2 linked regions of the Oryctolagus cuniculus genome follow. The protein of the gene in region 1 binds, or shares a complex with, the protein of each later gene. Links are inferred from orthologs where the notes say so. Each region holds a gene or a part of one and is shown on either strand. Other genes may lie near its edges. The genes, in order: SMARCAD1 and TRIM28.

Region 1 (3,904 bases):
CCATCTTCCACTGCTTTCCCAAGGCGTAGCATAGAGCTGGATCAGAAGTGGAGCAGCCGAGATTTGGGCCTTGCAGCCATGTGGAGGAGCCTGAAGAAGCTCCTGGCTCTTTGTCCCAGCTCCAGCCATCGCCGCCATTTTAGGGGTAAACCAGCTATGCAAAATCCCTCTGCCTCTTCCAGTCGCTCTGTAAATCTGCCTTTCAAATAAAATTAATCCTTAAAAAAAATAGATTGCCTGCTTGGCCCTAATGTTGGACAACGGGAGTGCATATTAAGGTAATGTTTCTGGCAAGATAAATGAATTGTAACATTCCACTGTAAGAACGGTCTGGCCAACAATGGGGAGCACGGTCAAACGCTTAAAGTTCAACAATACCGGACTTTCTTTTCCCTTACTAATTCCTTCACATTTGAAAGCCTCAGCTGCGGGGCGGAGCAGTGCGGCAGTAGCTTACCTGCTGCCTGGCACAAAGGACCTCTGGTTCTGGACCTGGCTCCCCCACTTTCCCTCCGGCTCCTTGCTAAGCTCCCGGGAAATCGGCCGGAAGACGGCCCCAGTGCCCTTCCACCCACTGGAGCCCCGCTGAAGCTCCTGGCTTCCGGCTTCGGCTGGGCCAAGGGGCCATTACATTAGGGAGTGAACCAACAGATGGAAGATCTCTTTCTCTGTAATTCTGCCTTACAAATAAATAAACCAATCTTTCCAAATAAATAAACCAATCTTTTAAAATTATATTAAGAAGGAAAGCCTCCATTTCCTTATTTTGTACAAATAGGTTTCTTAAAAGGATTGGAATTATTAAAACAGCACAATAGTCTTACGCTATCTATATTATAAACAGGTTATAATATGTAAAATATATGATGTAGTATGGGTATTTATCCTCACTGTGTTATTTTTATTGTTCTGTATAACACCTTTGCACCTAACTTGTAGAAACAGTTGTAGAAACAAACGGGCAGAACAATCCCACCCTTTAAAAGCAGGGGAAGAGGCTGGTACGAATTACCATGACAACGGCGCGCGCCTCGACATTTTTCGCTGGCGCGTCGCTTGGGAAGAAAAAAGCCTCGGCTGCGTATTGCGTCATCATTACGCGCTCGGTAGGGCTCTCAGGGGTGTTTTGGAAGGTCCCGCCCCGGCTACCGTCGCCTCACGCCAGGAATAATTTTTTTTTTTTTCTTTTCTTTCAGTCTTTGTTACATCGCGCAGAGCCTGCACGACCGTAAGTACTGATGGAAGGAAGAAAGAGAAGGAGCGAGAGATGCCCCAGCATACTCTCCGCTGAACCTCCCCGTGTGTTCTTGCTTCTGTCAGCTTCCTCTCAGCTGGGATCGCGCCGCGTCAACTTCCGGGCGGGTGCCCGCCAGCACGGCCTCCGCCGCTCCCCTCCTTTGGCCCCTTTGTGTCCCCGCAGTGTGGAGGCGCGGGCCCTGGCAGGTCCTTTCTCGAGGCAGGGGGCACCGTAGTGCAGGGAATCTCTGTCTGTGGGCGGGCACGCGGCCCGCTGGGGGGTTACACTGGGGAACGTGCCTGCGCGTGCCGGGGTAAGAGGAGGTTGCACGAGGGTCAGCTCGTGGTTCGAGTAAGGAGGGGCGGGAGCGGCGGGAGGGGCGGGGTGGGGGGGGCGGACGGAGGAGCGTGCAAGGCAATGGAAATTTTAAAAAGACACCACTGTCCACCTCCCGATCCTTGTGGCCTAACAATGAATCGCAGCCATAATAGTCCAGAGCCACTGGCATGTTTGCGGGCCCTGTATTGCCTTGGAAAGGAACTGCTGTGGCTTTGTAGTCTCTGTTTTCATGGCCTCTTTTTCTCTTTTTTATTTTTTTTTCCCCCCTGCGGATAGTTCATTTCAAGTCCCCGGGCCCCTCAGGGTGATTCCTGCCACTATGAATCTTTTCAACCTGGACCGTTTTCGCTTTGAGAAAAGGAGTAAAATTGAGGAAGCGCCCGAAGCAACCCCACAGCCCTCCCAGCCTGGCCCTTCTTCACCAATTTCTCTTAGTGCTGAAGAGGAGAATGCTGAAGGGGAAGTTAGCAGGGCAAACACCCCTGACTCAGATGTAACTGAGAAAACAGGTGAGTTACAATGTTGCAAATTGGTGTAGCATCAAAGAATAGGTGGTGAAAGATGAAAGGCAGGAGCCAGTCTGGTTGCTCTGATGTCACACATATTGATGCATTGTCCTCCTGATTACCCTTTAAGGCACAGCTTTGGGACTGCCTTAGTCACTGTGCCTCCAGCTGAGCTCCCAGCCATTGTTGCTTCTCTTAGATGTGAGTTCTTGGAATGTGGCCGGGTGATGGAAGTTGGAATCAAAATTCGGGTCATCCTGAGGTCAGAGTGGCTACTGGAAGAGGAATGGAGGTGATTGAACCCCGTGATTGACTTTGAGGCTGCTAATTTGGCTAGAGGTTTTCATTCATTCTAGTATTCCTTCAAAAAACCCTAGTGATCAGTATGACGAGCCAGGTGTTCATCAAGGCGTCTGAAGACAGTCTCTGCCCAGATCTGATCAGATACCATTCACATACTGCCCCCGCCTGACATCGTGGGGGTATCAAGAATGCAAGTGAATACTTGATATTCTTCGTGGTGAACGAACCATTTTAACCTCATCAGCAGATTGTCATAGACAGTTGGGATTTGAGAATAAGCCAAAAATTAAAATTTCCATTCTGATCTGTTTTTTGAACAATAGAGGAATATATTGGGGCTCTTGCTGTGTTTTTAGGCATTGTGCTAAATGCTTCATATTGAGTCACTTAATATACATAATAAACCTACTAGTTATTATTCAAAATTTGCAGAAATGACACCCAGAGATTAAGGACTTAGTACAATCTGAACTCAAATCCAAACAGTCTGATTGCTGACCACAAATGCTTAATTGTTACAGTATGCAGTTTCTCATGAAAGGTGAAAGGGATATTAGAAGTTTTATTTTAATGCTCATTTCAGTAACACCTTTTTGGGTGAGCATGGCTTTTTTTCACACGCGGCTTTTAAATTATTGTGGCCTGTAGAATTGGAAATGTGTGCCTTCATCATTGATATCTTTTGTTGGCTGCTCTGCCATGTAAATGAAACGGTTGTGGCCGATTCTCTACAAGTTCTTGGTGGGATGATTTGGTCGATCGGGTTAAGAAGTGACTAGAAGTCAAATTTCCAAAGACTAAGGAGTTGGCTAAGGAGTTCTGAGCTTGTTTAAATACTATAGGTCAGGCTGTCATGGCGGCACAGCAGGCCCACTTGCGTCGCATGGAGGAATATCTCCCATGTGGAGGCCAACATGGAGTTCTGGGCTCCTGGCTTTTGCCTGGCCCAGCCCTGGTGGTTGGAAGCATTTGGGAAATGAACCAGCCGATGGTAGACCTCTCTTTGTTCCTTTCAATAAATAAATAAACTTTAAAATGTTATAGGAAGCGTATTAAAGGATTTTAAGCACAGACGTGACAGAGCAGGGAAGGCAAGGGTATAGGCAAGCCTCTGCTTCATCTTAATTCAGCATGGGACATCAGAAAAGACACTTAAAATGTGAAACAGTTTTTTTAATCTCTGAAAATGAAAGCACTTTGTAAAACTGGATTTCAGTGGAATGTTTTAGTCATTTACCAGTATTGGTAAAATGAAAATTTTACCTCTTATTTTAAGATGTATTTATTTATTTGAAAGTCAGAGTTACACAGAGAGAGAAGGAGGGGCAGAGAGAGAGAGAGAGAGGTCTTCTATCCTCTGGTTCACTCCCCAATTGGCTGCAATGGCTGGAGCTGCACCTATCTAAAACCAGGAGCCAGAAGCTTCTTCTGGGTCTCCCACACAGGTGCAGGGGCCCAAGGACTTGGGCCATCTTCTACTGCTATCCTAGGCCATAGCAAAGTGCTGGATTAGAAGTGG
Region 2 (3,904 bases), on another chromosome or scaffold:
TCAGACAGGATTGATTCCTCCTCCGACAGGACCCTCCTCAGGATTCCTCTGCAGACAGGATTCCTCCCCCCACACCCTGCTTCCCTCCTCAGACAAGACCCCCCCCCCCCAGACAGGATTCACCTGACAGGATTGATTCCTCCTCCGACAGGACCCTCCTCAGGATCCCTCCCCCCACACCCCCCACATCCTCCTCAGACAGGACCCCCCCCCCCCGACAGGATTCACCTGACAGGATTGATTCCTCCTCCGACAGGACCCTCCTCAGAATCCCTGCCCCGATTCTGCTTCCCCCCTCAGACAGGACCCCCCCCTCGATTCTGCTTCCCCCCTCAGACAGGAGCCCCCCCCGATTCTGCTTCCCCCCTCAGACAGGATCCCTCCCCCGATTCTGCTTCCCCCCTCAGACAGGACCCCCCCCTCGATTCTGCTTCCCCCCTCAGACAGGACCCCCCCCCGATTCTGCTTCCCCCCTCAGACAGGAGCCCCCCCCCCCGATTCTGCTTCCCCCCTCAGACAGGATCCCTCCCCCGATTCTGCTTCCCCCCTCAGACAGGAGCCCCCCCCCCCGATTCTGCTTCCCCCCTCAGACAGGATTCCTGCCGGCTCCCCGCCAGTCTCTCGGGATTCTTCCCAGACCCTGTCTCTCTCTGAGGATTCCGCACTTCTCAGATTCAGTTCGCCCACCTGGGACAGCTTGGAGTCAGGGCAGCGGCAGGGCAAAACACGGGAGGCTAAGCGAGATTTTATGGACTGGGGGCTTTGCAGCTTGCAATTTAAGCAAGTTTTGTTTCTCAAGTTTAACAATAAAACGTTAAAAACCCCGGAGTAAGGCTCCGCGCGCAAACCGCAGCTTTCACGTTGCTCAAGTGACGCCCCTTCGCCCCTCCCCGGGCTCAGCCTTCCCCTAGCCTTGGCCCTGCCCACTCCATCACACCCCGTCCCCTCTCCGGGTCAGCGGGTGCCGCAGCGGCCGAAGACAACCGCACGCCGGGAGAGGGGCGGGGACTGAGGCGGAGGTCGCCCCGCACCGGCTCCAGGGCGTTCCGGAGGCGGAGTCCGGGGCGGGGGGCGGGGCGGGTCACGTTTGTAGGACTCGAGGCCACGCCCCACGGCGAATCAGGGCTCGACTGTGACGTCACAGAGCCCTGCCCCTCACCTCACTAGCCGGCCGAGGTGAGGTTGGCGGTGGTGGGAGGGCCCGGCGCGGGCGCGTGCGTACTCCTGGCCTCGCCCGCGGCGACCGGCCAGGTCCCGCCCCCGGGCGTGCGGCTCCGAACGCGCGTGCGCGGCGGCGTCGGCGCCAGTTATTTCTGTCCCGCCCCCAGGCCGCGGCTCTTTCTGAGAGCGGGCGCGCGGGCAGGCGGTTGTTCGCGTGGCGCGTGGCTCGGGTCGCGGCGGCGGCTGGTTTAAGCGCGGGTGCTGCAGCGGGAAGGCGAGGAAGCAGCAGCCCGCAGTGCCTCGGTATCGCCCCGCGCGCGGCGGGCAGCGGCCCAGGAGACGCGTGGCAGCGCTTGGTCTCGCGGCGGCGGCGGCCCAGCCGTTGGCGGCGAGCGCGTCTGCGCCTGCGCGGCGGGCCCCGCGCCCCTCCTCCCCCCTGGGCGCCCCCGGCGGCGTGTGAATGGCGGCTTCGGCGGCGGCGGCGGCGGCGGCCTCGGCGGCGGCGGCCTCGGCCGCGTCGGGCAGCCCAGGCGCGGGCGAGAGTTCGGCGGGCGGCGAGAAGCGCGCCACCGCCTCTTCGGCCTCGGCGTCAGCTTCGGCCTCGGCCTCGTCGCCCGCGGGGGGCGGCGGGGAGGCGCTGGAGCTGCTGGAGCACTGCGGCGTCTGCCGGGAGCGCCTGCGGCCGGAGAGGGAACCACGCCTGCTGCCCTGCCTGCACTCGGCCTGCAGCGCCTGCCTCGGGCCCGCAGCGCCCGGCGCCGCCAACAGCTCTGGAGATGGCGGCGCGGCGGGCGACGGCGCCGGTGAGTACGTAGTGGCTGGGGGCGCCCCTCCCCCTCCCCGCCGCCCTTTATCCCGACTCTGGGAGATGAGGGGGACCGCCAGGCCCCGGATAGGGCTTGAGGAATGGGTTCTGGGCCCTCCGTGGAAGACCCATTGTGGGTTTCGCGGAGGCTTAGCTTGGAGAGAATAACGCACAGGGAGGGAAGGATGAGCGCAACCTGGATGTGGGCCGGCGGTGGTCTCACGTCCCGTCTCCCAACAGTGGTGGACTGTCCTGTGTGCAAGCAGCAGTGCTTCTCCAAAGACATCGTGGAGAATTACTTTATGCGCGATAGCGGCAGCAAGGCTGCCTCCGACGCCCAAGATGCAAACCAGGTACGTCCTGTCCCAGCCCAGTAGGTTTCTGGCCATGGGGAGGGGGCAGAGCCGTGGAGGAGCCTGGACCAACTCTAGGCATTATCCTCGACATTTCTCAAGGCTCTGGGGTGGGTCGAGGTATCCACATGAACGTGGGTTTGTATTTTCTGCGTTGCAAATGCAGATCTGTCAGGCTTTATTGGATTGGTCTGACCCTACCTTTTCCTGACAGTGCTGCACTAGCTGTGAGGATAATGCCCCAGCCACCAGCTATTGCGTGGAGTGTTCCGAGCCACTGTGTGAGACATGCGTGGAGGCACACCAGCGGGTGAAGTACACCAAGGACCACACCGTGCGCTCCACTGGTGCGTGAGGCGGCGCTGCCTTCCTATGTGTGCTTTCAGCTGCTTGTAGTGCTGATTCCGTTTGGTGGGCAGGTCTTAAGATGGTTTTCTGAGTTGCAAACACCAGGACTCCAAAGCATGGATGCTGGGGAGAGTTAAGGCCGCAGGCTGGGAAGTCACATGCTGTAGTTGTACAGAGGGTTTGAGGACTTCTCAGGGAAATGCAGTGGGGGGCATGAGTCCCAGTAGTGGAGACTTCAGGGTACATAGACAGGGAAAGGTAAGGGAGAGGGGTGCTATGAATTTGGGGCTCTGGCACCTGGCTTGAGAGTGTTGGGAAAAGGGAGGCTTCCAGGATAGGGCAGCATGATAAGCTGCTCTGGGCCCTTGGGCTGTCAGTGCTGGTGAGACCTGTAAATGTTCTAGCTGTGAATACGCAGTTTAGACTTCCTGAACGTTTTCTGGGTATCTGTTGGCTTTGATATGGAAAGGAGCTTGAGAATCTCCTGAATCTGGCCAAGGTTTTGGCCCAGAACCCTCCCATGAGGAATATTTTGGTGGTGGTACTAAGGTTCCTTCAAGCCCAGAGAATAGCACTTCAGGAAGATGGGGCGTAGAGGTGCTGGCTTTAGGGCCTGAGAAAGCAGGCGGGATGGGGTGGGGTCTGCAGGGATTCTAGATTCCGGAGGTTCTAGGCTAAGGTTAGGGTGAGGGAATGGGCGCATGTCAGTTGGGGAAGCCAATTTCTGGCTGAGCCGTGTTCCGATGTGAGACATCTTGTCTTTTTGATTAGCTCTGGGGAGGAAAGGGACCCACGTGCCTGTTGAGGTTTATTAGCGACAGGGAGCTGAGTGGGGCGGGTGGTTTGTGTGTGTCGCTGGAACATGCCTGTCTGTAAAAGTTCCCATGAGAGGGAACAGTGGTGGGGATGGAATTCCCACTTTGAAGTTAGAATAACATCTTCATCTTTGCCTGATTGGGGCAGAGGGTTCTGGGAGCAAGGACCCGGGGCTCTCGAGGTGCTACCAGTACATGGCCTAGGGTCCCAGGACAGGTGGGAAGTGAGGCCTCAAGCTCTGACTGCTACCTGAGGTGCTCAAGAGCAAGGTCCAGCCTCCTGGTTTCTACTCTGCAGGGCCGGCTAAGTCTCGGGATGGTGAGCGTACTGTCTATTGCAATGTGCACAAGCATGAGCCCCTCGTGCTGTTCTGTGAGAGCTGCGACACTCTGACTTGTCGGGACTGCCAACTCAACGCTCA

The links.
Region 2: the proteins of SMARCAD1 (region 1) and TRIM28 are in contact, whole or in part, in a crystal structure (PDB 6H3A), measured with the Homo sapiens proteins. The link is inferred for Oryctolagus cuniculus from reciprocal best matches to the Homo sapiens genes SMARCAD1 and TRIM28. Residues at the interface, in NP_001362784.1 of Homo sapiens: Asp156, Leu157, Ala160, Lys161, Gln163, Thr164, Glu167, Leu168, Phe169, Asp188, Gly189, Ala190, Ala192, Leu196, Ala201, Gly202, Gly203; in NP_005753.1 of Homo sapiens: Arg330, Trp333, Thr334, Lys337, Ile338, His341, Leu376, Lys377, Ile379, Val380, Asp381, Val383.

What each region holds. Positions count from the first base shown.
Region 1 is NC_091439.1:71,275,793-71,279,696, reverse strand, and holds the start of SMARCAD1 (SWI/SNF-related matrix-associated actin-dependent regulator of chromatin subfamily A containing DEAD/H box 1), read left to right. Parts: upstream 1-1,097; 5' UTR 1,098-1,228; intron 1,229-1,263; exon of another isoform or gene 1,264-1,550; intron 1,551-1,852; 5' UTR 1,853-1,895; coding exon 1,896-2,085; intron 2,086-3,904. UniProt on the Homo sapiens protein: DNA helicase that possesses intrinsic ATP-dependent nucleosome-remodeling activity and is both required for DNA repair and heterochromatin organization.
Region 2 is NC_091449.1:99,075-102,978, reverse strand, and holds the start of TRIM28 (transcription intermediary factor 1-beta), read left to right. Parts: upstream 1-1,218; 5' UTR 1,219-1,621; coding exon 1,622-1,964; intron 1,965-2,206; coding exon 2,207-2,319; intron 2,320-2,533; coding exon 2,534-2,666; intron 2,667-3,780; coding exon 3,781-3,904. UniProt on the Homo sapiens protein: Nuclear corepressor for KRAB domain-containing zinc finger proteins (KRAB-ZFPs).